6 linked regions of the Rattus norvegicus genome follow. The protein of the gene in region 1 purifies or fractionates together with the protein of each later gene. This does not show direct contact. Links are inferred from orthologs where the notes say so. Each region holds a gene or a part of one and is shown in the gene's direction. Other genes may lie near its edges.

Region 1 (4,210 bases):
GTGCCACCATGCCTGGTCTAGTATGCATGGGAGTCCTACACGATGAAGTCGAAAAGCTAGATGATTAAAGCTCAAGACATACAGAAAGGAACAAGAATTGGAAATTTTAGTAGGTAGCAGAGATAAATGAAGAGAGAGGGAAGGAAATGAAGAGGGAATAATAAGTCGATTCTTTTAGATGGCCTCCCGGGCAAGGTTGTCTACGAATAGCTAAGCTGCCTTTCTGACACAGATACCTTATCAAATTTCCCTTATAAATTTAACCTTGTTACAAAAATGCTGCCTTTTATTTTAGGTAGTGGAGGGGAGCTGAAACGTGCGTGTCAGATGGATATCAATTCTTTTCGTTTAAAAGCAATCAGTGTGCAGAGGGACACATTTTTAGCAAGGCACTTTCCAGGCTTTTACAGTCCTACTTTGAGGTGACGGGTTCCGAGCTTCAGACACCATAACGAATGAACATCATGAGTAAGATAAATACCTAAAGCCCCTAGGTGAGCCTTGCCATTACGCACAGACTGTAAAAAACGCTTTACAAGCCAGCAAAAATGATTGTTTCTAAAACGCTGCATTTTTGCAATCTTCCAGGCGCTTTAATTGTTCTCAGACAGATGGTTAAAGCTCGGCTACCGCACCCGCATATGCTAGGATAAAACCCGACTACAGCGCCAAGAAAAAGATGATTGGCTGTGGGCCCTAGAAGTTACACGGTTCTCCTAGCAAGAGCTGAGAAACCGCTGAATGTTCAGGTTTTGAAATAGGGTTTTTGCATCGTAAAGAAACAAGATTAACCTATCAGGAAGAACCGAGCACATCCAATTACCAATCAAGAGCGGGACAAAAGCCAAAGCCGGAGGATACCCAGGCACCAAAGAGGACGCCACTCTTCAGTCTCTGCCAATAAGACGAGGCAAGGGGCGGGGCAACAAGAGGATCAATTGCCCAAGAAAACAAACAATGTGTAGTACAACTGTCTAAACCTCAGTCCTAAGCTCCGGGTGCGACGGAATGAGCTCCTGAGCAAGGCTCTCATGAGCTGCTTGCCGCTCTTCTAGCCCAAGGATTGTCAGAGCCAGGTTGCTTCTTCCCGGCTCAACAAACGCTTCCTTCCCGCCAGCTCCCACAGGCTCGCAAAAAGCCCGCTGCAACTTTGCGCTACAGTTTACAGGAACAGGGAGTCGCGCGCTACCTGAGGGGGTGGGGCGGCGGCAGTGCGCAGGCGTACACGCCTTGTGGAGGCGAGGCCGAAAAGACTCAATGAACTCTGGGAATTGTATTCTTCGCGCTCGAGGGGGTAGCACAACTCACCAGGCCTCTTGAACTACACTTCCCAGGAGCGCTCGCGACGTCGGGGCGGGCCGTTTGGTTCGTTAATGAGTTCGAGAAAGCCGCGGCGCGGCCCACCAGGTTCCAAAACAAGGAAATGAAGGGAGGAGGCGGGACTGTGGGTGCCTGCGGGAGCCGCCGCCGCCGCCGCGGAGGAGGAGGAGGCGGAGGAGGTGGCTGCCGCGGCCGCCGAGGAGTCCCTTGCTGAAGGCAGACCGCGGAGCGGCGGGCGGCGCGCGCGCGCCCGAGCGACGGCTGTTCGAGAAGTGGAGCGGCGGCGGCGGAGGAGGGACTGAGTGGCGGCGGCCCCCGCGTCCCGGTTTCTCTATGGGGGAAGCAGACAATGGATTATGATTTCAAGGCGAAGCTGGCGGCGGAGCGGGAGCGGGTGGAGGATCTGTTTGAGTACGAAGGGTGCAAAGTGGGACGCGGCACCTACGGGCACGTCTACAAGGCGAGGCGGAAAGATGGGTAAGAGCGCGGGCGGGGAGTGGGCTCGTCCGGTCTCCTCCACTGCTGAGACCCGGAGGGCTGGGTGGGTCGGAGCCCACGGGAAGAGGCGGCGTGGGTCGCAGAGCGACGTCCTGGGGCCAACTCGGAGGCACTGGTGCTGCCGCCCCCCGCTGGCCGGTCGCGCCCCTCCAAGTCGCACAGCGTAGCCCCGTCGGGGGCGTCGGTCCCGCCTGGAGTCACTGTTGCGAGCTTAACAGCGGGCGGCGGGACCCGGTGGAGACCGCGCTTGGAGGTGGAGTTTAGGGGTCTGGTCCCGGGGGGACTCTCGAGGGCTTGGCTGAAGAGTTACCGGTTTGGCCCTGTGCTGGTGACGGTCGTGGTGGAACTTCCAATCGGCGCAGCGCCTTCCCGGGGCGGCGGTTTGAAAGCTCGCGGGGGCGCCTCCCGTCTGGTGGCCCTGCGCTTGGGGTCCTGACTGGCCCCTCTGGTCTGACTTCCTCGACGTTGCCAACCCAGCCTACATCCCTGGTGTTTACCTGGGGACTTCCCGATCCTGCTCCCGATTCCCACACTTTAATATTTTGAATTCAGCACTCTGAAGGTGGACCCTGGAGAGAGATTAGCTCTATATTACAAACTTCAAGTGCTCTCTGGTTGGTTACCTTTCCTGCCTCGTGATTATTTTAGGTAAACCCCTCCCCAGCCCTTATAAGATAGGGTCTCTCTCTGTGCACCCTGGTTAGCCTGCAACTCAGAGATCCGCCTGCCTCTGCCTCTCAAGTACTGTGATTAAAAGGCGTATGCCACCACACTCGGCCCATTTCTCTTTTCTTCAGGAAGAAATCTTGAGTATTAATATTCTCCAGTTCTCATCCTCTGTCAAATGGCTGTGAGCTTTGGTTTATCGAGAACCTAGACCACCAAGAACAGAAAACGGAAGTGACAGGCTTGGGCCTGGACCACCGTTTTCCTAGTTGAGGGGATCTATAGGAATCTCTTGGGAAGTCTTTCTGGATTGTTATAGCAGTAAAGGACAAGTTGGATAAAGCATCGAGAATGTACCCCTCGGGCCAGAGGGCAGACCAGTTTGTAAGAACAGGACAGGTGGAACCAAACTTGTGACCTGGCAGTGGTGGGTTTTGTCACCTTGTCCCAATTCCGGAAGGAATTCCTTTCTCTTAGAAAAAGATTCAAGCAACTGTCAGACTATACAAAAGGGAGACTGTGACTGCTGGAGCATTTGAAAAGCAGAGCATCAGCACACCTCATTGAAAGTGCTTCTTGGCTGTGCTTTGATAAAGTTGGTGAGGAGCTCCAGCATCAAAGCAAGCAGTGCGTTTGCTAATTTTATAAGAGGAAAACCAGAACACAATCATATGAAGTGTTTCATACATGTACCTGGAAAACTACAGGTAGTGTGTGGGTTTCAAGGATGATGATTAATTGCTGTTGCAGTAGAACTGTACAGGCCAGGCCACTCAGTTGTCTGAGCTGTTTCTTTTAATTACCACGTGTCCCCAAGTGCACACCGGGCGCTGTAAGGCACTATACTTGACTTACACTTTGGTTTTGGAATATCCACTCTACTGGTTAAGTTGGTGTTCCAGTGGGAATCTACACAGGATGTTCGGGGAAGGCAGATCCGCTGCTCTGATTGGACAGTGTTGTTACACTGTTGGTCTGGATTTTCCCTATCTCCCAGAGACTGTGCTAACTTTGTTTTTACACTTATGTTTTTATTTGCCCTGAAACTTTGAGAGAAATTAACAGTTCTGATTCTGAATTGCATAGAATGGCTGGGTTTACAACAGAAACACTTCTTATTTCTACTTATTTTTCAGTATGTCTCTATAATAAGGATATTGATTCAAATACACTTATTCTTTGAGTGAAATCGGTAAAGTAGAATACATAAGGTCAGTTTTTATATTTTCAAAGTAGAATTAAAAAACAAACAAAACATTTAGAGCTAGGCAAGCACTGGCAGTTGTCTGAGTTCCAGGCCAGACAGGCTACACAGAGAAACCCTGTCTCAACGAAACCAAACCAAAGCAAAAACCAACCAACAAAAACCGCCTAGAATATGAAAATATCTTGTCAGACCGTTGTACCACATGTTCTCACGTAAAACAAGCCATGATAGGCTTTATTTTTGTGGATCAGTGTCTGGTTACGATTCCTGGCTTTACACTAACACTTGCGTCTCTGGTGATTTGGCAGTGGGATTAGTTTTATGTTCATCACTAATCAGCCATTTGACAGAACAAAAGGTTTTAGTGGTAGTTCTCAAAGGTGACACAGATTTGGATGGTAAAGGATTCTATTGTCTGGTCATTCTAAATTACAGTCCCCTCTTTTTACATTTTGGTAAGCTCCGGGAAAATGAGTAGTGCTTGATGCTATTTTAGGGAGCAAGAGAGATGAGGCCTGC
Region 2 (3,023 bases), on another chromosome or scaffold:
AGCCCCGCCCCTGTCTCGGCCCCGCCCACTGGGCAGCCTGCCCAACCAGGTGGAGCCTCGGAGCTCAGCCCCGCCCCCGGAGTTTCCCCTCCAGTCTCCCAGTCCTAGCCTATATGTCAGTGAGCTGCTGTCTTTGTTTCTCACTAAGGTAGCACTAGCTACACCCCACAGCTCCTGTCTGTCTATGGGAGCCGTCAAAAAGTGACTCCATCTTCCTGTCTGTCCCCGGGTCATTTGAGGCTTCTAAGCTTCAAAAGCCTCAGGCTGCAGGGTCATAAGTCCAGCCCCTGGCTTCTTTGGTTCTGTAGGAGGTCAGCCAGGGTCAGGCTGGGAGCAGCGCAGACGCTGGACTGGCCTTTTTCTGTGTCTCGGTCTATAGGGTGCTGAGCACAGTTCTGGCCTCCCCGACTCTGCCAGCCATGGCCCTGTGCTGAAGTCACATGTGTCCCCTGACTTCACCAAGGTTCGAGGGCTAGCTGTGACTGACCCATACCATAGTTGGGGGCTGCTCACATCCTGCCCTCACCCCCAGTGTCCCCACCTACAGGGCTCCGCACTGAGGCCGGGCCACAGCTTCCTCCGGGATGGTGCCTCACTGGGTATGCTGCGGGAATTGATGGTTGTCATCCGAATATGGGGCCTACTGAAGCCCAGTTGCCTGCCCGTCTATACAGCCACCTCAGACACCCAGGACAGCATGTCCCTGCTCTTCCGGCTGCTCACCAAGCTGTGGATTTGCTGTAAGGCATTACAGTGCCCCCTGCTAGCATCTTCCCTCAGCCTACCTCCAGAATTTAAGCCCTTGATCCTAGGGTGCACACCCCTCATTCAGTTAGGACGTCTGAGGACAGAGCCCCAGGGATGCTGTAGTGGGTACCACTCGGTCATATCAGTGTAGTGACCCCTGACCCTCCCCACAGGCCGTGACGAAGGCCCAGCCAGTGAGCCCGATGAGGGCTTGGTGGACGAATGCTGCCTGCTGCCCAGCCAGCTGCTGGTCCCCAGCCTGGACTGGCTTCCTGCCAGTGACGGCCTGGTCAGTCGCCTGCAGCCCAAACAGCCCTTGCGCCTGCGCTTCGGCAGGGCACCCACCCTGCCCAGCAGCACCTCCATCCTGCAGCTGGACGGCCTCACCAGGTATGCACTGCCCACTCATCCTTCCTCATCCCCCGCACGCACGTGCTGCCCCGCCTCCCTCACCCCCCCCGCCCCGCACGTGCCGCCCCGCCCCGGAAGGTCTCCACACCACAGCTTCCCTTGAGGCTCTCTCCTACAGAGACTCCTGCAACTTCTAGGGCCTGGTGTCTCCCCTAACCACCTTCTGCTTCATCGGGTCTTTGTACTCTAGCTTCGCTCTGTGTGTAGAGATGGTTTTTGTTAGTTTTTGACAGAGGGTTGCCCTGGCAGCCTGGAACTCGCCCTGTAGCCCAGGCTGGCCTCATACCTGCTGTGTGGGAGGAATCTGACCCACCAGCCTCCACCTCTGACTCACACCTCTGCGTGTAGAATCCATTTTCTTCCCTCCCACTGATGTGCCCAAGCTGTAATGGAGCCCTCACTCGTTCCAGGCCAGCATTTACAGATAAAGGACTGCCACGCCCCTCCCACAGCAAAGCCATTAACCCCTCCTGTGTGTCCACTGTCCCATCAGCCACATTTGGAAGGTTCTGGAAGCACAAGCCCTATCTCACCAGGAAAAAGCCATCAGCTGTTTCTTATGGTTGAGCCCCAAGGGTCACACACCAGAAGCCACCCTCGGCTGCCTGGCTGACCCAGGTCCCACGCCCCTCCCTCCCCTCTCATCCCCAGGGCCCCTGGGCAGCCCAAGATCGACCACCTTCGGAGGCTACACCTGGGTGCCTACCCCACGGAGGAGTGCAAAGCCTGCACCAGGTGAGAGCTGCCAGCCATGGCCAGGGGCCTCCGCTTCCCTCCTGGGCACACAAGACAGCCTGCGATCTGTGGGGTAGGGGCTTGGGGAGGGCCTTGGTTGTGGCCTTGTGTCCTACCTGGCTTGAGCAGGCTAGGGTCTGGGGGCATACCGTCTCCCCCACAGTACAGGCAACAGTCCCTGGTTCCCCAGGTGTGGCTGTGTCACCATGCTGAAGTCACCCAACAAGACAACTGCTGTGAAACAGTGGGAACAGCGGTGGATCAAGAATTGCCTGTGTGGTGGGCTGTGGCGGAGAGTGCCTCTCAGCTGTTCCTGAGCCACAGCCCGCCAGTCTGCGTATGTACAGCCACTCTCTGAACAGATGCAGGGGACTGTCTGTGATGAAACATTGACATCCTCACTGGGGCACTGGCACCGGCAGCAGCCTGGGTCTGCCCCTTCTCGGGGCGTGTGCGTCTCCAGTCCCATGGTTTTATCCAGCCCAGCTTGAAGGAGCTGGGCTGCTCTGTGTTCATCCTTTAAAACACCACAGCCCATATGCCCCTGTCCTGATTGGGGTATCTGCCTCAGTTTCCCTTTGGGACCTATGGGAGGGGAAGACTAGCCCAATAAAGTTCTCTTGTACCCCAGGCTTATGCTGTCACCGTAGTCCCCATCACTGCCCACCTCTTGCTGAGATGCCCACAAATAGGGAAGCTGAGTGACTGCTGGCCTCCATCTCCTGGTGTCTGTGGCCTTTGCTGTTGGTCCCCAGAGGAGGGGTCCTGCCTTCAGGCATGTCCCTGCAGCTTCGGGAGGCCAGGCTAGCGCAGGGCAATGGCCTCCTCCACGGGGGGCGCTGCTGTTTGTGGCTGCTGCTTTCTTCTACCCTTTCAACCCCTACCACTAATAGGGATAAGGGGTAACGTTGTTGTTACACTACTTCCTGTGGAAAAGCATTGAGTGAGTCCCTTGGGGGAGTTTGACCTTTGCCATCGTGAAGTCTAACTTCTTTGCACAGGACTACTCAACAGCCAGCAACTCACTCGCCACCAGCCACCAGCCACCTAGCATTTACGTGCCCTCTGAAAAGTCCCCAGAATCCAGATGTCACACAATCACACAAATGTCCACAGCTGGCAAGACCAGG
Region 3 (3,993 bases), on another chromosome or scaffold:
CCAGGTGGGGTCTGCTGAGACATCCAGCCCCTTAGACTGAGCAGCTACGGGATTCTCAGCCTTTCAGGTTGGAGGCAGCCATTGTTGGACTAGTTGAACTGCATCTTGTAAGCCACTCTAATAAGTTATATGACATATATATCCATGTGTGAACACACACTCATTTGATCAGTGTAACAACCCCTGGTACACTTTCAGTAAGATAGTAATGCTATGGGCATGGGAAAAAGCGAAGAGCCCTTACCTTTGAGAGGCTCATACTGGACTAGAGGCGAACTGATGGGGAGCATATAGCTGTGGAAGTTGGTGATGAGTAGACTGTTCTTTCGCTTTTATGCCTGCAATTCTTCACATATTTAAAGGAAGAAACTGGGACATTCTTGTCTCTGAAGCAGAGCTGTTTTAGCAGAACAGTCTTATCTCACTTTTAATTTGCAACAAGCGTTCTTAAGACTCCCATGAGTTAGGACATCTGTTAACAATTCTTTTATATGTGTGGTGGGGGAAGGCCTAAATGGAAAGTTTTCTTGCTGGTCCTGATGGCTCATTTCTGAACCTCTGGCTTTCCTGAGGCTCGGAAGAGACATTTGAAACCATGTGTAGCCTGGGCTACACAGTGAAATTGCCCACTCCTTCTAATTTTAAAAATTACATTAATTTTTTTTTTTACTTGTCGGTTTGTGGAAGAATTGTCATATACATCTTTGAATTCCTAAATGAAAATAAAAGTGAACGGAAGGGGGAAAATGAAGGTGTAGGATGTTAGTCTTAATCATGTTCCCAAATATCCCCATGTATGTATGAATATATCATGGAGTACAACTTGCTTTAAAAAAATTTTTTTTGATGATAAGGTTAGCATTGATATTTTTAAATATTGCTTATCTGTATTTTCTGACTTATATAAGGCAAATATTTAATTTTAAGAGTCTTATATAAAGGGGGTGGGCGGCGAGGAGTCGAATTACTAGAGAGTACTTTCTTTTACTAACAAGAAGTATGAAGAAACACTCTCCTGACCTGACCAAGAAGATAGACAAGAGATCTTTTCCCGGGAGAAGCGGGAGACGCGGGAGTGCGCATGCGCAGTATCTTTAGGGCGGGAGTAGGACCTGCTATAGGACAGGCTTCGTAGCCAATTAAAGGCCCGCGTCAGAGGCTTCTTCCTGAGAAGGCAACCGGAACTTGTGCTTCCGCTGCGCTGAGGAAAAAGTCGCTACGGGAAAAGCTAGAGCTGAGGTGAGCCGGCGCGGCGTTTGGCGACCGCAGCCAGAGTCTGTCTCTCCGCCCCCGCGGTTGCGTCTTTCCCGGCGCCACGCCGAGGTCCGGCGCGGGACAACCTGGGAAGCCCGGGCTCGCCTTCCTCCCACGTCCCTCAGCGGAGCCTCCCCGGGGCCTGAGGCAGGCGGCTGGCCGAAGGTGCGCGGAGTGCGGCTCGCTCCGGGCGTCTCGCGGACCGGACGACGAGCCGGACCGGAGGTTGGGAGGTCCGAGTTCTCGTCCCCACGCCACGGGCTTTTAAAGTGTCGTGGCCTTAGCCTGCCCTGTCGGCATTAGTAAAATGATAGTAGCCACCTGGGAGCGCGGAGGCTGGGGGAGGGGAGGGAGAGCCTCGGGCGGATCTTATCCTGTACCAGACTTTACGAGGGACAGGGACCAAGTGAGCCAAGTGTCTGAGCTTGCGACCACTCCCCCCCCCCGCCCCCCAAGCAAATGCTAGAAACTGAATTTTGTTAGTGTTAGCAAGTGAGGACATCCAGCGGCTCTGAAAAGTTCAGTTTAAACCGGTGAGGGCGGTTTTTGTAAGGTGGCAGGCTCTAAAACGGGATGCTTGAGTTATCGGGGTTTGCACTTCCGCGCAACAAAACGAAACAGCCAAACAAAACAAAACAAAAACGGAGTACAAATTCCCGTTATACATTTTACCCACTTCTGCACATTGGAAACTGGCTTCTTGTTTCTAAAATCAAATTGGGAATAGTTGTGCCGTTAGGAAGATAGAAGTGAGGATGCCGGTCACTTATTAGAAACCTTTGGGAAATGGGAATTTAGTATGGGTGTGGCTAAGGGAAGCGCAGATCTCATCTTCAAAAGCCCTCAGGGGACGAAATTTAGGCTGGGTGTTGACTTGATGTGACTGCAAATAGACACTAGTATCTTAGGTATATATACCCTGAAATAGTTGAGTTGGACGACCTGAAGAATTTGAAGTGACTTCCCTCAGATTTAATGTATTCCAGGTGTACGGAACCTGTATGTTACTTTCCCCTGTTACCTTGAATCTCAGTGTGAAAAAGCGCTCAAGAATCTTCTCATTGTATAATGTACTTAAACTCAAATTGGAAAAGCAGAGGGTATTTTGACCATATATGTTGCAGTGTTGGGACTTAGGTGTTAAATTTATGTAGAAAAGATGTTAAAATGCCAATTGTCAATAAAACTGTACTATAAGATGTTTGTAAGATGAGGCTTCCCTCAGAAACCTTGGAAAATTCTAGAAGTATGAAATTTAACAAGTGATTTTTGTCAAGACGTATAGAGAATCTTAAGTGTTTGGTTTTGGAAATCACTGTACAGTAGAAAGCAAAGTGAGATTGATAGACACCATATGTAGTTTGATTATGGAAAAGAGAAATAAATAAGGCATATGACTTTGTATATAACTGTTCTTTCCCAGAGTAGGTTTCAACGTATGCCTACCAAAAGGAGTCAGGCATGAAAAAGAAGTATATCATATACCATGTATAAGCCCCCCAATACAGACCCTTTTCTCTTAGTTTTCAGAATATATGTTTGTTCTTTGAGAATTTTATACACACACACAAACATGTGTGTTTTGATCATGCTTGCTTCCTCACTCGTCTAATATCTTGCAGACCACTACCATATCTTACTCCCAATTTTATATATTTTTAAAATATTTTCTTGGTTTTTAAAGATGGATCTTTAGCACAGGCTGGCCCATGTAGTTCAAATGGGCCTTGAACTCACAGCTATCATGCTTCTCAATCATTAGGACTCAACAACCATCATGCTTAGGGCAGTTTAAAAAATTGTTTAAAAATAACAGTAAATAAAGTCCTCTGCAAACCCGCAGTGGACTCTGCTGCTTGTTTTCCCACTTTGAATGCTTTATTTACATTTGTCAGGTTATCTACAATGTGTGAGTCCTTAATGCTAACATCATTTTTTAAACAAGCAGAACAGATCTTACTGAACGATCATATGAGTGCTCTTTAACAGGTGAGAAGGGCTCGAAGAGATTAAAAATAATCGTAGGATTTCCAAGTGAGGCTGTTCCGTGTTCTCAGAATTTCCTTCATAGACAAGGTTTGCACACCTCGACTTGGGTGTGTAGTTAGACACTAGACATGTCTCATGGTTCTCACTTCTGTTATCCTCACTGCAGTGAACATGGCGATTCAGCATTTTAAAGCCTGATTCAGTTAAGCAACAACCTGTAGTCTTGGGTGAATAGAGTTAAGAGCCAGGACACAGCAGGCCGTAGGACCAGAGCAGGTATTGTAAAGAAGACATGGTACCTGGGAGTCCGTGACTAAGTATGTGTAAGTGGTGATTCTACAGTAAAAAGGAGCCTGCCATTGTCCACTGTCAGTTGCAGAAATTGTACAATGGGAATTTATACTTGAATGTTGGAACCATAACTCATGCTATCACAAAGTAGACAGAGGGCAGACCTTTTTGGAAGGCCATCTTTGTGTGCAACTTTCTGCACCTTCCCTGCTCTATCCCATTAGTCTAACAAGGGACTAATCAGATCTTCATAAAGCCATAGCTTTGCCTTATTTTTCTCTTCACTTCTTCCTCCTTTGCCAGGATTACCTGTCTCCCTAGGGTGAAATTAGCACACCTGTTGTCTTTGCTGGCCAACAAGTTCTCAATTTTTATACTTCCCATCAGGAAGCTTGAAGATAATATGGTCTGAACCCACAACGAACTTGTACTGAACATTGTACTTGTGTTGATCAGGCT
Region 4 (3,500 bases), on another chromosome or scaffold:
CCCTTTCAGTAGAAATGCTTAGATAATTATGTATGTCCTGGTTTTGCTTTTAAGAATAAAATGGGTTTTTTCTTTCCTCTCAGTGAATTATTCACAACGGTTCTTGACATGCTGGGTGTTTTAATCAATGGGACGCTGGCTTCTGACCTATCAACTGCTTCCCCCGGGGGATCAGAAGAGAACAAACGTGCATACATGAATTTAGTAAAGAAACTGAAAGTAAGCTTGTGATCAGCCTCTATTCTGAAATCAAGTTGTTTGTGGATTATTGTCTGAATTCCTGCTCATTAATTTACATGCATAGTTGATTCAACAGATTGTGGTTATCTTACATGGGCTGTCAGTCCTTCGAAATTACAATATCTGAAGGACTTTTCTCTGAAAAAGTATACTCAAATAAAGCATGTTTTAATTTTTAAGGAATTTAAAAACGCATTATCCGATATCTAACCAAACCTCAGATTTCCGTTAAACCCATGCTTGGATTTATACATGCAAGTGGAGAAAAGGATCTCTTCATTGAGTTTGTAAATCTGACTCATTTGATAACCCACTAATGTTACTTGAACTAAACGGCAAATAGACATTGCAAACACACAGTCTGAAGACTTGACAGTAAAATAGCTGATGTTTACCTTGCAGTCTGACCCTGGGTACGGGAAAGTGTCCGTGCGGCAGCTCCTGCTGTGTGACAGCAAATAGCACTGGCGTTTTGTCATCTCAGCACTCTGACTTGTCATGTAGAACAAGCCTGCCTTTGTGTGCACTCTGATTTTCTATGTGAATAGAAGAAATGAAACATTTCACCAGTCCAATTTGCAGCTGCTCCATAGACTGCGCTAAGGACTAAAGACATACCAGCTTAAAAAAAGGAAATGTGTCACTGGGAACTTCCTTCTTGTTAGCTTTTGCTTTATTGTAAAGTCAGAATTTTTGCTTCACTTCTCTCTTGCTTTTATATTTTTTTCTTCCTTTTTCTTCTAGAAAGAACTAGGAGACAAGAGGTCAGAAAGCATTGACAAAGTTCGACAGTTGCTGCCTTTGCCAAAGCAGACTTGTGATGTCATCACCTGTGAGCCCATGGGTTCTTTGATTGATACGAAGGGAAACAAAATTGCTGGATTTGACTCCATTGATAAAAAACAGGCAAGAGTAAATGTTTTTTTCTTTGTATATAAATATATCTAGTTATAGAAGCCAAATGACATTTCCTACCTTCTTTGAGGAAACACAAAACATATTAATTGAATCTCTTAATTTTCGAGGGTTTGTTTTTGTCATCAGAGCATAGTAGCTATTGGCATTCCTAAAAAAGCCATTGTCTTTGAAGATCTCCATTTAAAATGCTTATCTGGACTTAAGGAAATTCCTAGAATCTACCAAGAAGTTTAAGTAGCAGCTTAGCATAAAAAATAAAATACAATTATTACTTTATGTCAGGATAGGAAACAAAATATGTATATAAGAGGATGTGGGTTGATAAGAATTTTCAAGTGCTGAGTAATCAGTATTAAGTAAAACTTGGGTTACAACAGTACATAGTCTCCAAGCAGCAGTATAGATGGGCATTTGCTTTATATAAGACACTTTAGAGGGTTCTTAAAATAACAGAATGGCCAGCCTTTCTGTCAAAGAGCACCGAGTAGCCATTGGCACTGCAGTAGCAGAGGTAGATGGTGGAGGGAATTAGTGCCCTCAGTAGGAGGTAGATGCACTTTCAAATGCTATGGGATGTGCAGGTCTTGGTCCAGAGAGGATTAGGAGGCACTGGCGGGGACCCCTTAAGTCACACAGGGAGAGGTAGTCACAACCGGGTTCCTACGATAGTTATTCAGAAAAGTGTTGGACCAGGTGTAAGTTTAAGAAAAGGGAAGAAAGATGACGATTGGTGAGATGAAAAGCCTTGCCACCAGAATTCAGTGTTAGCCCCAATGCCACAGCAGTGTGGCTTTGGGAGGGAAAAAGGAGAAGTCACAGTCAGGTGACTTGGGCTTCCAGCAGAAGCCATCCAGGTTCCATTTAGCTGTGAGTTGTACTCAGAAGGATTTCATCATACAGCAGACAGCAGGGGGCGATGACATTACCTGTGGTGTTAGAAGAAGCCGCTCTCAAAGAGGAAGACAGACAAGAGCAGATCAGTTCACATGCAGGGGGAGGGGGGGTATGTACCCTGGCTGTCTTTTGAGGAGAAATGGCTTTAAATTGGTATGCTGGAGAAGTTACCAAGAAATGTGACCAATTAGTATTACAAGTAAGAGCATTCTGTCTTTGAGAAACGAGATTATCTTACCTGGATCCAGTAAAGATAACTTGGAATGGAAAGGGAAAGATTTAATTTGTGTTATACCTGCTGCTGTAATTAAGTTCTCTGAAAATACTTTATTCAGAGAAGGCCACGTACATATACATGAAATACAGACTAAAATGAAGTCCATGTAGGTTGGATTGAAGTGAATATGAGTCCAATCAGAGGCAAACTATTTATTGACTTTTAAATCTTGTAAATACTAAAAATAATGGATTCCTAAGATGGTTATAATTTAGTATTTTAACACCAACTTCACAAAGGTGCTTGAGAATTATATTTTCTACAGCATACTTGAATGAAAATGTCATTTTATACTAAAATATTGTAGACTACCTTTAGATGCCTCAAGGGATACAGAGGACTGGAGAAACGGGCTTCCAAAGTTCTGAGCCCCAGTCCCTACATCTTAAATGAGCGTTCCTGTCTGCTGAGTTCCCCAAGCCCATTCCAACCACATACGTGCAAGTTTGCCCTGCGAGCTGGGGACAGGCCAGGTTGTGTTGTCACAGAACGTTCTTTTCCCATAGGGTCTCCAGGTCTCTACGAAGCAGAAAGTGTCCCCATGGGACCTGTTTGAGGGTCAGAAGAACCCAGCTCCTCTGTCCTGGGCCTGGTTCGGCACTGTCCGTGTAGACCGGAGGGTTATCAAGTATGAGGAGCAGCACCACTTCCTTCTATACCACACACACACCATGCCCAAGCCCCGAAGCTACTACCTCGAGCCACTGCCCCTACCTCCTGAGGAGGAAGAGGAAGAACCCACATCTCCAGTTTCTCAGGAACCAGAAAGGAAATCAGCCGAGCTGTCAGATCACGGAAAATCTGCAGCAGATGAAGAGAAGAAGACAAAGGGAAGGAAGCGTAAGACAAAATCGAGCTCACGCATCGATGTGAGTGGGGGATGTAAGGAAAAGACTGGGTCACGGGCACCTAGGATGGGATTTACCCATGGCCAAACGATACACCTAGAAACGTTACTAAGAATACTATCAGCTCTCTGATATAGAGTTTCCTGAGGAGTGTCTGTGCTAACAAACTCTCATGGGTGACAGATGCAAAGCTTCTCATTTTCCACTCTACATTTTGGTGTGGGGGCGGGGGGATGTGGGATTTGTTCCCTTTTGAGACTGGCTTAGCTCATTTAATATGAAAATCTCCAGCTCGGTCCATTTTTATGAAAATCACAAGCTCT
Region 5 (3,500 bases), on another chromosome or scaffold:
CTGCACTGTCTGGGCTGCACTCTGAGCACCATTAGTCCTCAGCAGCTCCCCAGCAGGCCAGGGTGAGCACTGTGTAGTGTGGATTATGTAGAAAGGAAGTGTGTGTGTGTGTGTGTCTGTGTGTGTGTCTGTGTGTGTGTATGTGTATGTGTGTGTATGTCTGTGTGTGTGTCTGTGTGTGTGTCTGTGTGTGTGTCTGTGTATGTGTGTGTATGTCTCTGTGTGTGTCTGTGTGTGTCTGTGTGTGTGTATGTCTGTCTGTGCTCATGTTCTGCTTCTCCCTTTCCTTTTCTCTCTCCCTCCTTTTCTCTTTTGTTTTTGAAGAGAAAATTGCAGATGCTCAGTGTGGGCTGTGGTGTGGGATGTGCAGGGTGGCTTCTGCCTGTGCACTCCACCCTCACTGCTACCTTGTGTTTGTTGCAGCAATGTGCCTAGTGTTGGGAGCCTCGCAGATGCAGACTATCTGAACACACCCCAGATGAACACCCCTGTGACGCTCAACAGCGCTGCCCCTGCCAGCAACAGTGGAGCCGGGGTCCTTCCATCTCCAGCTACCCCTCGATTCTCTGTGCCCACACCTCGAACCCCCAGGACTCCAAGAACTCCCAGAGGTGGGGGCACTGCTAGTGGCCAAGGGTCTGTGAAATACGATAGCACCGATCAGGGGTCACCGGCTTCCACCCCCTCTACCACAAGGCCCCTTAACTCTGTGGAGCCTGCCACCATGCAGCCAATTCCTGAGGCCCACAGTCTCTATGTCACCCTGATTCTGTCAGATTCCGTGATGAATGTCTTCAAGGACAGGAACTTTGATAGCTGCTGCATTTGCGCCTGCAACATGAACGTCAAGGGGGCAGATGTCGGGTTGTACATCCCCGACTCCTCCAAGGAGGACCAGTACCGTTGCACCTGTGGCTTCAGTGCGATCGTGAACCGGAGACTTGGTTACAACTCGGGGCTGTTCCTCGAAGATGAGCTGGATATTTTTGGGAAGAACTCTGACATTGGCCAAGCTGCAGAGAGACGCCTGATGATGTGCCAGACCTCCTGCCAATCCACCTTGCTTCCTCAGGTGGAGGGCGCCCGGAAAGCCCCAGAGCCCCCCGTAAGCCTCCTCCTCCTCCTCCAGAATCAGCACACACAGCCCTTCGCCTCTCTCAGCTTTCTGGATTACATCTCCTCCAGCAGCCGCCATGCACTTCCCTGTGTGAGCTGGACTTATGACCGGGTGCAGGCAGATAACAATGACTACTGGACAGAGTGCGTCAATGCATTGGAGCAGGGGAGGCAGTACGTGGATAACCCCACAGGCGGGAAAGTGGACGAGGCGCTGGTGAGAAGTGCCACCGTACACTGTTGGCCGCACAGCAATGGTAGGTATCCCAGAGAGCAGGCTTCTTTCAGAAGTTATCTTGCTGCCCACGATAACCAAAGGACTGGAAGTGAGGGCTGGGCTGTGTCCTCTGCCTAGAGGCTGGGCTGTCTTCTCCTGAAGCTTTTGGAGTAACTGCCTCCCAAGACTTTGCCATTCCATTACACCACAAGCAGCGGGTGCATTCTGGCCGCTTGTAGCCATGCTTGTAGCTTGTAGTGTGTAAAAAGGATAGTCCGCAGTCCTATCTCTAGGTATCCAGTCATCCTACGGTATGCAGTTGCCTTGGTGTCTCTTCCTGGAACTGACCACACATGTCCGGAGTATTTTCTCCTGTTGGTTGCTCAGTATGCTACATATCAGTGACCACATGTGACTTTGCTGTGGTTACAGGGGTACATCCTAGGGGCTTGTGCTATTTAAAATTGCCAGTCAGCCCATGTAGACCATAGTAGAGCTCGTGGGCTCGAGCCCAGCCCTGGGGAGGAGAGGAAACCTACCTCCAGTTGACAACCATGTTTGGAATTGGGCTCTACAAATGCTGACCAGGCTGCTCCTTTGCTGCTCTGGGATACACCAAGGGCGGAAGGCACCTGCCTTCCTGGACTTCGTAATCTATTTAGGAGAGTGACTGTTGCATATTAAATAAGCACACAGGAAGCCTGTGGAAGCAAATTGTAAGTGATGGAAACGAGGGAGGACCCCCATGTGTGGAGGTCAGGGCTGCCCCTGAGCAGGCAGCAACAGTTACACTAGGTGACATCAGGTTTGTGAAAGTAAGTGAAGGACAGAAGTCTGCATTCTCACCAGACTATAGGATGAGGAGAGAAAGCACGAAGGACAGATCTGGGGAAACTGAAAACCAAATAGAAACCAGCAGGCTGGGACTAGAGAGGCACACAGTTGCTGGGGCTGGGACTAGAGAGGCACACAGTTGCTAGGAGCCTGTACTTGTGCTATAGGAACAAAGGCTGGGAAATCCCTGAATTTCAGGCTACCTTGGTCTACATAGCAACTTCCAGGCTAGTCTGGACTGTATAATAAGACCTGGCCTCAGGGGGGAAAGTGCCTGTACTCCCAAGTAAAGGACCTGAGTGTAGTCCCCAGCAGCCATATCAAAGTACCCATAAGCCTGTAGCTCTAGCCCCAGGGGATTTGATGACCTCACTGGCCTCTGTGGGCACCTACACTTCTGTGCTGGTACCCGAATGTGATAAAACTGTCTTTATTTAGATTTATGTCTATGCATGTTTTGTCTGCTTGTATGTCTGTGCACCATGTGCATGTCTGGTCCCTGCAGAGATGAGCAGAGGTCAGAGGATTCCCTGGAGCTGTAACTCCAGATGGCTGTGAGCCACCATATCAGTGCTGGTACTTGACCCCGTCCTCGGCAAGGACAAGTGCTTGTGACTGCTGAGCTGTCTCTCCAGCCCCAACTTACGCTAATTTAATAAAAGAAATAGTTATGCAATGAGGAGAAATAAATAATAGCTTGCTTTAGGGTGGGAAGAAGTAGGTACATTTCAGAGCTGTGTAGATAGTATAGGGCCTCTTTATAAAACATCCAGTGTTTCTCAAGGATGGATATTTTACAAGGTTTTCTAGGTCTCTCCCTTTTTGTTCCCTTATCCTCAAAATGGTAATGTATAAATGAAAGGAACATGGTGACTAAGGAAACTTTGTGGCCCTCTGTCTTCTGGAAACTCTTGGAAGCAGGTTTACATGATCCCTTTACTTCTCTCACAGTTTTCTCAGTTGAATGCTTCTGAGTAGTGTGACCTACTTCCCTCTTTATGCCTGTTAGCAAAGTACCGGTTCTTCAATTTGGAAGAGCCTTTCTCTTGACTCCCAGGTCGCCCATCTCTTTTAGTGCAGACCCAGGATGGCATCTAGAAGGGGGCATGCTCCCCTGACATCCTTGTCCTCTGCTCTTTTCTCCTCCCACAGTGCTGGACACGAGCATGCTCTCATCCCAAGATGTGGTGCGCATGCTGCTGTCCCTGCAGCCCTTCCTACAAGATGCCATCCAGAAGAAGCGCACAGGCAGGACCTGGGAGAACATCCAGCACGTGCAGGGGCCACTCACCTGGCAGCAGTTCCATAAGATGGCCGGGCGTGGGACCTACGG
Region 6 (3,979 bases), on another chromosome or scaffold:
ATCTGTTTTTGTTTAAACAGAAATATCTTTCCCCCTCTCTTGAGAGATAGGGTTCTATCATGTAATGTAGTCGAGGTTAATCTGGAATTTACTATGTACTCAAGGAGGCCTTCTGCCTTGCTTCTGGAGTGCTGGCATTACAGGTGAGCATCGCCACTCCTGCCTGGAATATATTACTCTAATTATCTATTTAATGTGTGCCTTGAGCTACACTTCCGGTGCCATCAGGAGTGATGAAGATCTTATTTCTGGATCAGAACTGCCTAAAAACTTAACACAGCTCAAAGCACTATGCAGGCAGCCCACAGATACTTCAAACGCACAGAGAATAAATAAATGCTAGAACTGGTGTGAGAGATCACATTCTGTTGGCTTAAGTCTGGATCCCGAAACCCAGGAGTGGAAGTGAAGGACCACGCGGGAAAGTTAAGCCGCCTACTCTTTTTAATTCTAACCCAGTATTCCGATGGAGAGTATCAGACCGGCCCAACTCACCACTCCACCCCTTGTCACTCACCCAGCCGCGTGGCGCGCTCTCGCGGTTTTGCCGGCCGATCTCCAGTCGCGTGTTCAGTCTCGAGCTCCTCCTGCTGCTGCCGGGCTTGTTGCAAAATCCGTCTGCTCAACCGGGGTCCCACATACTCTTCCTCCTCTTCGACCCCGTGTCTCCGCCGTTTTTCTCGGGTCCCCGCACGCACTGCGTCCCCAGCCAGAATCTGCTCCGCCAGAGGTGCATGTCTCTCTTGATTTCTGGCCCCACGTGTCACCTTTAATTTGGGCATTTTTGTCGAAAAACTTGCCCACAAAGTTTACACGTGTGAAGCCGGCTAAGAGACGAGACTGCGCTTGCGCCTTGTATTCCGGTCTCCAAGAGGTCACTGAGGCATCACAGTGCCCCCCAGCGTTCGGAGGCCGGAAGTTCCTCATATATCGCCATCTCTAGAAGAGCTTCGGGGCTTGGAGCAGGAGTCTCCAAATTCTCAGATAATCTCACTGAAAGAGGTGGATGTTCGAGTCACCTTTTCCAGAATTCATGAAAGTAGCCTAGGGCGTGTTGTCAACCCCTTGTATGTTTTGGGGGCGGAGCCGGGTCGATGACGTACTAGAAATGTCACCGCTGGTGTATCCAGAGATGCCTCTCCCTGTGGGCGTGTCGTCCTGGCGCTCAGTATTTACGCATTTCCGGAGGCCGGTCAACGACCGCTTCCTGTGTTTAGGGGGCTGCCTCTCGTGGGAAGGTCTGGATTCTCTGAGTTTGAGTATTTGGCAGTACCACCTTTTGACCCTTCGCCATGGGAGTGACGTGGTAGGACTTGAAGGGCTTCTGCGGGGGGGGGGCTGTGGGGTCGTGAAGGTGTCTGTGAGCCTGTAATGGCCCGGGGAGGGGGATTTTGACCGAGGTTCTCGGTTCCTCGAGGGCTGACCAAGATGTCCTGGGGTTGTGTGGATCAGGGGACACCCGAGTGCGGGTTCTCCCTTCCCAGGCATAACAATTTGGCAAAGCAAGCACTTCATCCCAAGAACCCGCCAAGAGTTGTTGGACCTTCTTTTTCTCGGTACCTCTTTCTGTCCTTGAGGCCTTGTCCCGTCGCAACTAGAATCCAGCGGTTAGAAATAAGGTTTCTAGACTAGGAGATATTCGGAGGAAGGGATAAAAAGGGGCGCGAGGAGAAAGTGACTTGTGTATTCTGCTTGCAGTTATAGCACCTGACTTTGAACTGGCCACTTTAAGATATTGGGGCTAGTGACAAAGGTAGGGGAAAGGAGCTGTTGGGAGTTTGGAGATCGGGGTACCAGGCATATTAACTATTCATGAACCACTCCCTAACGTATTTGAGACAGTTTTTTGAGCAGGGTTTTCTTTGTGAGTAGCTTTGGGAGGCCTGTAGATCAGGCTGGACTCAAACTCACCGAGATCTGCCCACCTCTGCCTCTTGAGTGCTTTGGTGATGGCATTTGCCACCAGCACTTGGGCTTGAGACAGTTTTGATCGACTTTTATCTTAAACATGTCTTAAGTCTCACTTGAAAAAAAAAAAGAGGCAGTCGGTAAGGTTTGGGCACCGTGCTTTTGTGGGTATTAATTTCAAAGTACTAGACCTCAGCACTTAAAATCTTGGTACTGGTGCGCTTCTTTCCGATTAAAGAAGCTTGGGGGCCATTGTACAGGAAGTCAGGGGCCACAGGTCTGCTCTGGAAAGGAGAGCTCTTGTAGGCTCCTTAGTAACTGCGCTTGCCAAAGTTGACACCAGGAGCCTCATCTCTGCCACAGTGAAAATAGATCACAGCAGAGTCATTTGAGATCCCCCAATGCCACCTTTCTGGGCTGTGTATGTAACTTAGACTCCCGTGCCTTTGCCTCCTGCACCAGGGATTACAGGAGTGCTCCACCAATGCCTGCCCACCCTGCGTCTTTGTATAGAGAAGGCAGTCCCTGGGAAAAGGGCTTCTTGCTTTCTAGTATCAGTTCCACTTTCTCAGAATCTTGGAATGTGTGTCACAGTGTGTCAGTTTGGTAATTGGAACAGTTTTTAATGACAGTGGGGCTCTCCCTTAATAGATTTTTCTATTCGATCATAAATCAACACAAGGATCTTAAAACAGTTGTTTAGGAAAAGCTTTGACTTTTTCATGCAGTTAAATACCATCAGTGTTATTATTTAATCACTGTTCAAAGAATAGGTCTCCGCCAAGCGCACTCCTATGATCCCAGCATATGGAGGTTAAGTGGCAGAAGGATTGATGAAAGTGTAAGGTCATAAGGTCAGCTTGGGCTCATGTGGTTCATTTCAGATCAGTATTGGCTTCAGTGTGAGTCCCCTGTCACCAACCAACAAACAAGTAAACAATCAGTCTCTTTTAAATAATTTAGCAGATTGCTACCTTGCCAGAGGTATGGTGGCACAGGCCTTTAGTTCCAGCGCTCAGTAAGCAGAGGCGGCCAGATCTCTGAGTTCAAGGCCAGTGTACAGAGTGAGTTCCAGGACAGCCAGGGTTACTCAGAGAAACCCTGTCCTGAAAACAAGCAACCACTACCAAAAAAAGAGAAAACACACACACACACACACACACACACACACACTCTCACTCACTGGTCACCACATCCCTAGGAGGATGGTTAAAGAGTACAGCTGAACAGCCAGGTTGACCTTGCACAGATTGTTTAGATTTGGAGTTTCCCTGTTTGCAATAAGTTGGTACTGGACAGGACCTTTCCTGGGGCCTTTGGAAGATTCAGTCAGATAATCTGAAGGCTCATGCCTTTGATCCCAGCATTTGAGAGGCAGAGGCAGAGGCAGGCAAATTCCTGTGAATTTCAGGCCATCCTGGTCTACATAGTGAGTTCCAGGAGAGCCGGAGGAGCTGCATAGTGAGACCCTGCCTCAGAAAAATGAACAAATGGGAAGGCCTACAGGTGCTGCCTACAAGTGCTGCCTACAGGTGCTGCCTGCAGGTGCTGCCTGCAGGTGCTGCCTGCAGGTGCTGCCTGCACAGTCTGCACATACCTGGTGCTTGACAGTATTAGTACCACTCCATGTCAAGGCTACAGCGTAAGTTGGAAACCTCAAAAATAATTGAAGTTTTAGCAAAGACCGTTCTTTCTCTTTATCAAGGATGATACACCCAAGGCCTGCTTTCTCTTTGTTCTTAGTGCAGACTCTGTGACAGTGAACATTAGCCACCAGACTCCTGTGACAGGATACCTAACAAAGGCACCTTATGATAGGTTGATTTGACTCACTATTTGAGCCAAAATAGCATCACAACAGAGAAAGCATGGTGACAGGAGCATGAGGGGCTGGTCACATTGTCAGGAAAGGGGGAAGGGGATTGTCCCGCCAGCTATTTTATCCACACCTCAATTCAGTATAGAATCTCACAGACACGATCAGGAGTTTAAGAACTAGGGCTCAGGCACGTGTACTCCTGTAATTCCAGCACTCGAGAGACTGAGACCGGGTTGCTGTAACAGTGAGGTT

The links.
Region 2: the proteins of Cdk19 (region 1) and Med16 purify together in Homo sapiens (affinity purification with mass spectrometry; 6 studies listed by BioGRID and IntAct, counting the BioPlex papers as one, with this or other methods). This does not show direct contact. The link is inferred for Rattus norvegicus from reciprocal best matches to the Homo sapiens genes CDK19 and MED16.
Region 3: the proteins of Cdk19 (region 1) and Med7 purify together in Homo sapiens (affinity purification with mass spectrometry; 5 studies listed by BioGRID and IntAct, counting the BioPlex papers as one, with this or other methods). This does not show direct contact. The link is inferred for Rattus norvegicus from reciprocal best matches to the Homo sapiens genes CDK19 and MED7.
Region 4: the proteins of Cdk19 (region 1) and Med12l purify together in Homo sapiens (affinity purification with mass spectrometry; 3 studies listed by BioGRID and IntAct, counting the BioPlex papers as one, with this or other methods). This does not show direct contact. The link is inferred for Rattus norvegicus from reciprocal best matches to the Homo sapiens genes CDK19 and MED12L.
Region 5: the proteins of Cdk19 (region 1) and Med13l purify together in Homo sapiens (affinity purification with mass spectrometry; 5 studies listed by BioGRID and IntAct, counting the BioPlex papers as one, with this or other methods). This does not show direct contact. The link is inferred for Rattus norvegicus from reciprocal best matches to the Homo sapiens genes CDK19 and MED13L.
Region 6: the proteins of Cdk19 (region 1) and Med20 purify together in Homo sapiens (affinity purification with mass spectrometry; 5 studies listed by BioGRID and IntAct, counting the BioPlex papers as one, with this or other methods). This does not show direct contact. The link is inferred for Rattus norvegicus from reciprocal best matches to the Homo sapiens genes CDK19 and MED20.

The regions. Positions count from the first base shown.
Region 1 is NC_086038.1:45,323,501-45,327,710, forward strand, and holds the start of Cdk19 (cyclin-dependent kinase 19), read left to right. Parts: upstream 1-1,410; 5' UTR 1,411-1,669; coding exon 1,670-1,797; intron 1,798-4,210.
Region 2 is NC_086025.1:10,459,273-10,462,295, forward strand, and holds the end of Med16 (mediator of RNA polymerase II transcription subunit 16), read left to right. Parts: coding exon of another isoform or gene 1-49; intron 50-379; coding exon 380-463; intron 464-532; coding exon of another isoform or gene 533-547; coding exon 548-740; coding exon of another isoform or gene 741-745; intron 746-920; coding exon 921-1,137; intron 1,138-1,809; coding exon 1,810-1,893; intron 1,894-2,083; coding exon 2,084-2,210; 3' UTR 2,211-2,523; downstream 2,524-3,023. UniProt on the Homo sapiens protein: Component of the Mediator complex, a coactivator involved in the regulated transcription of nearly all RNA polymerase II-dependent genes.
Region 3 is NC_086028.1:31,353,844-31,357,836, forward strand, and holds the start of Med7 (mediator of RNA polymerase II transcription subunit 7), read left to right. Parts: upstream 1-1,193; 5' UTR 1,194-1,239; exon of another isoform or gene 1,240-1,787; intron 1,788-3,837; 5' UTR 3,838-3,993. UniProt on the Homo sapiens protein: Component of the Mediator complex, a coactivator involved in the regulated transcription of nearly all RNA polymerase II-dependent genes.
Region 4 is NC_086020.1:145,672,318-145,675,817, forward strand, and holds part of Med12l (mediator of RNA polymerase II transcription subunit 12-like protein), read left to right. Parts: intron 1-83; coding exon 84-219; intron 220-635; exon of another isoform or gene 636-877; intron 878-984; coding exon 985-1,146; intron 1,147-2,835; coding exon 2,836-3,198; intron 3,199-3,500. UniProt on the Homo sapiens protein: May be a component of the Mediator complex, a coactivator involved in the regulated transcription of nearly all RNA polymerase II-dependent genes.
Region 5 is NC_086030.1:43,487,820-43,491,319, reverse strand, and holds part of Med13l (mediator of RNA polymerase II transcription subunit 13-like), read left to right. Parts: intron 1-423; coding exon 424-1,373; intron 1,374-3,319; coding exon 3,320-3,499; intron 3,500-3,500. UniProt on the Homo sapiens protein: Component of the Mediator complex, a coactivator involved in the regulated transcription of nearly all RNA polymerase II-dependent genes.
Region 6 is NC_086027.1:20,877,212-20,881,190, reverse strand, and holds the start of Med20 (mediator of RNA polymerase II transcription subunit 20), read left to right. Parts: upstream 1-1,179; 5' UTR 1,180-1,292; coding exon 1,293-1,306; intron 1,307-3,979. Other genes in the region: Bysl (bystin), read right to left, coding at 518-782. UniProt on the Homo sapiens protein: Component of the Mediator complex, a coactivator involved in the regulated transcription of nearly all RNA polymerase II-dependent genes.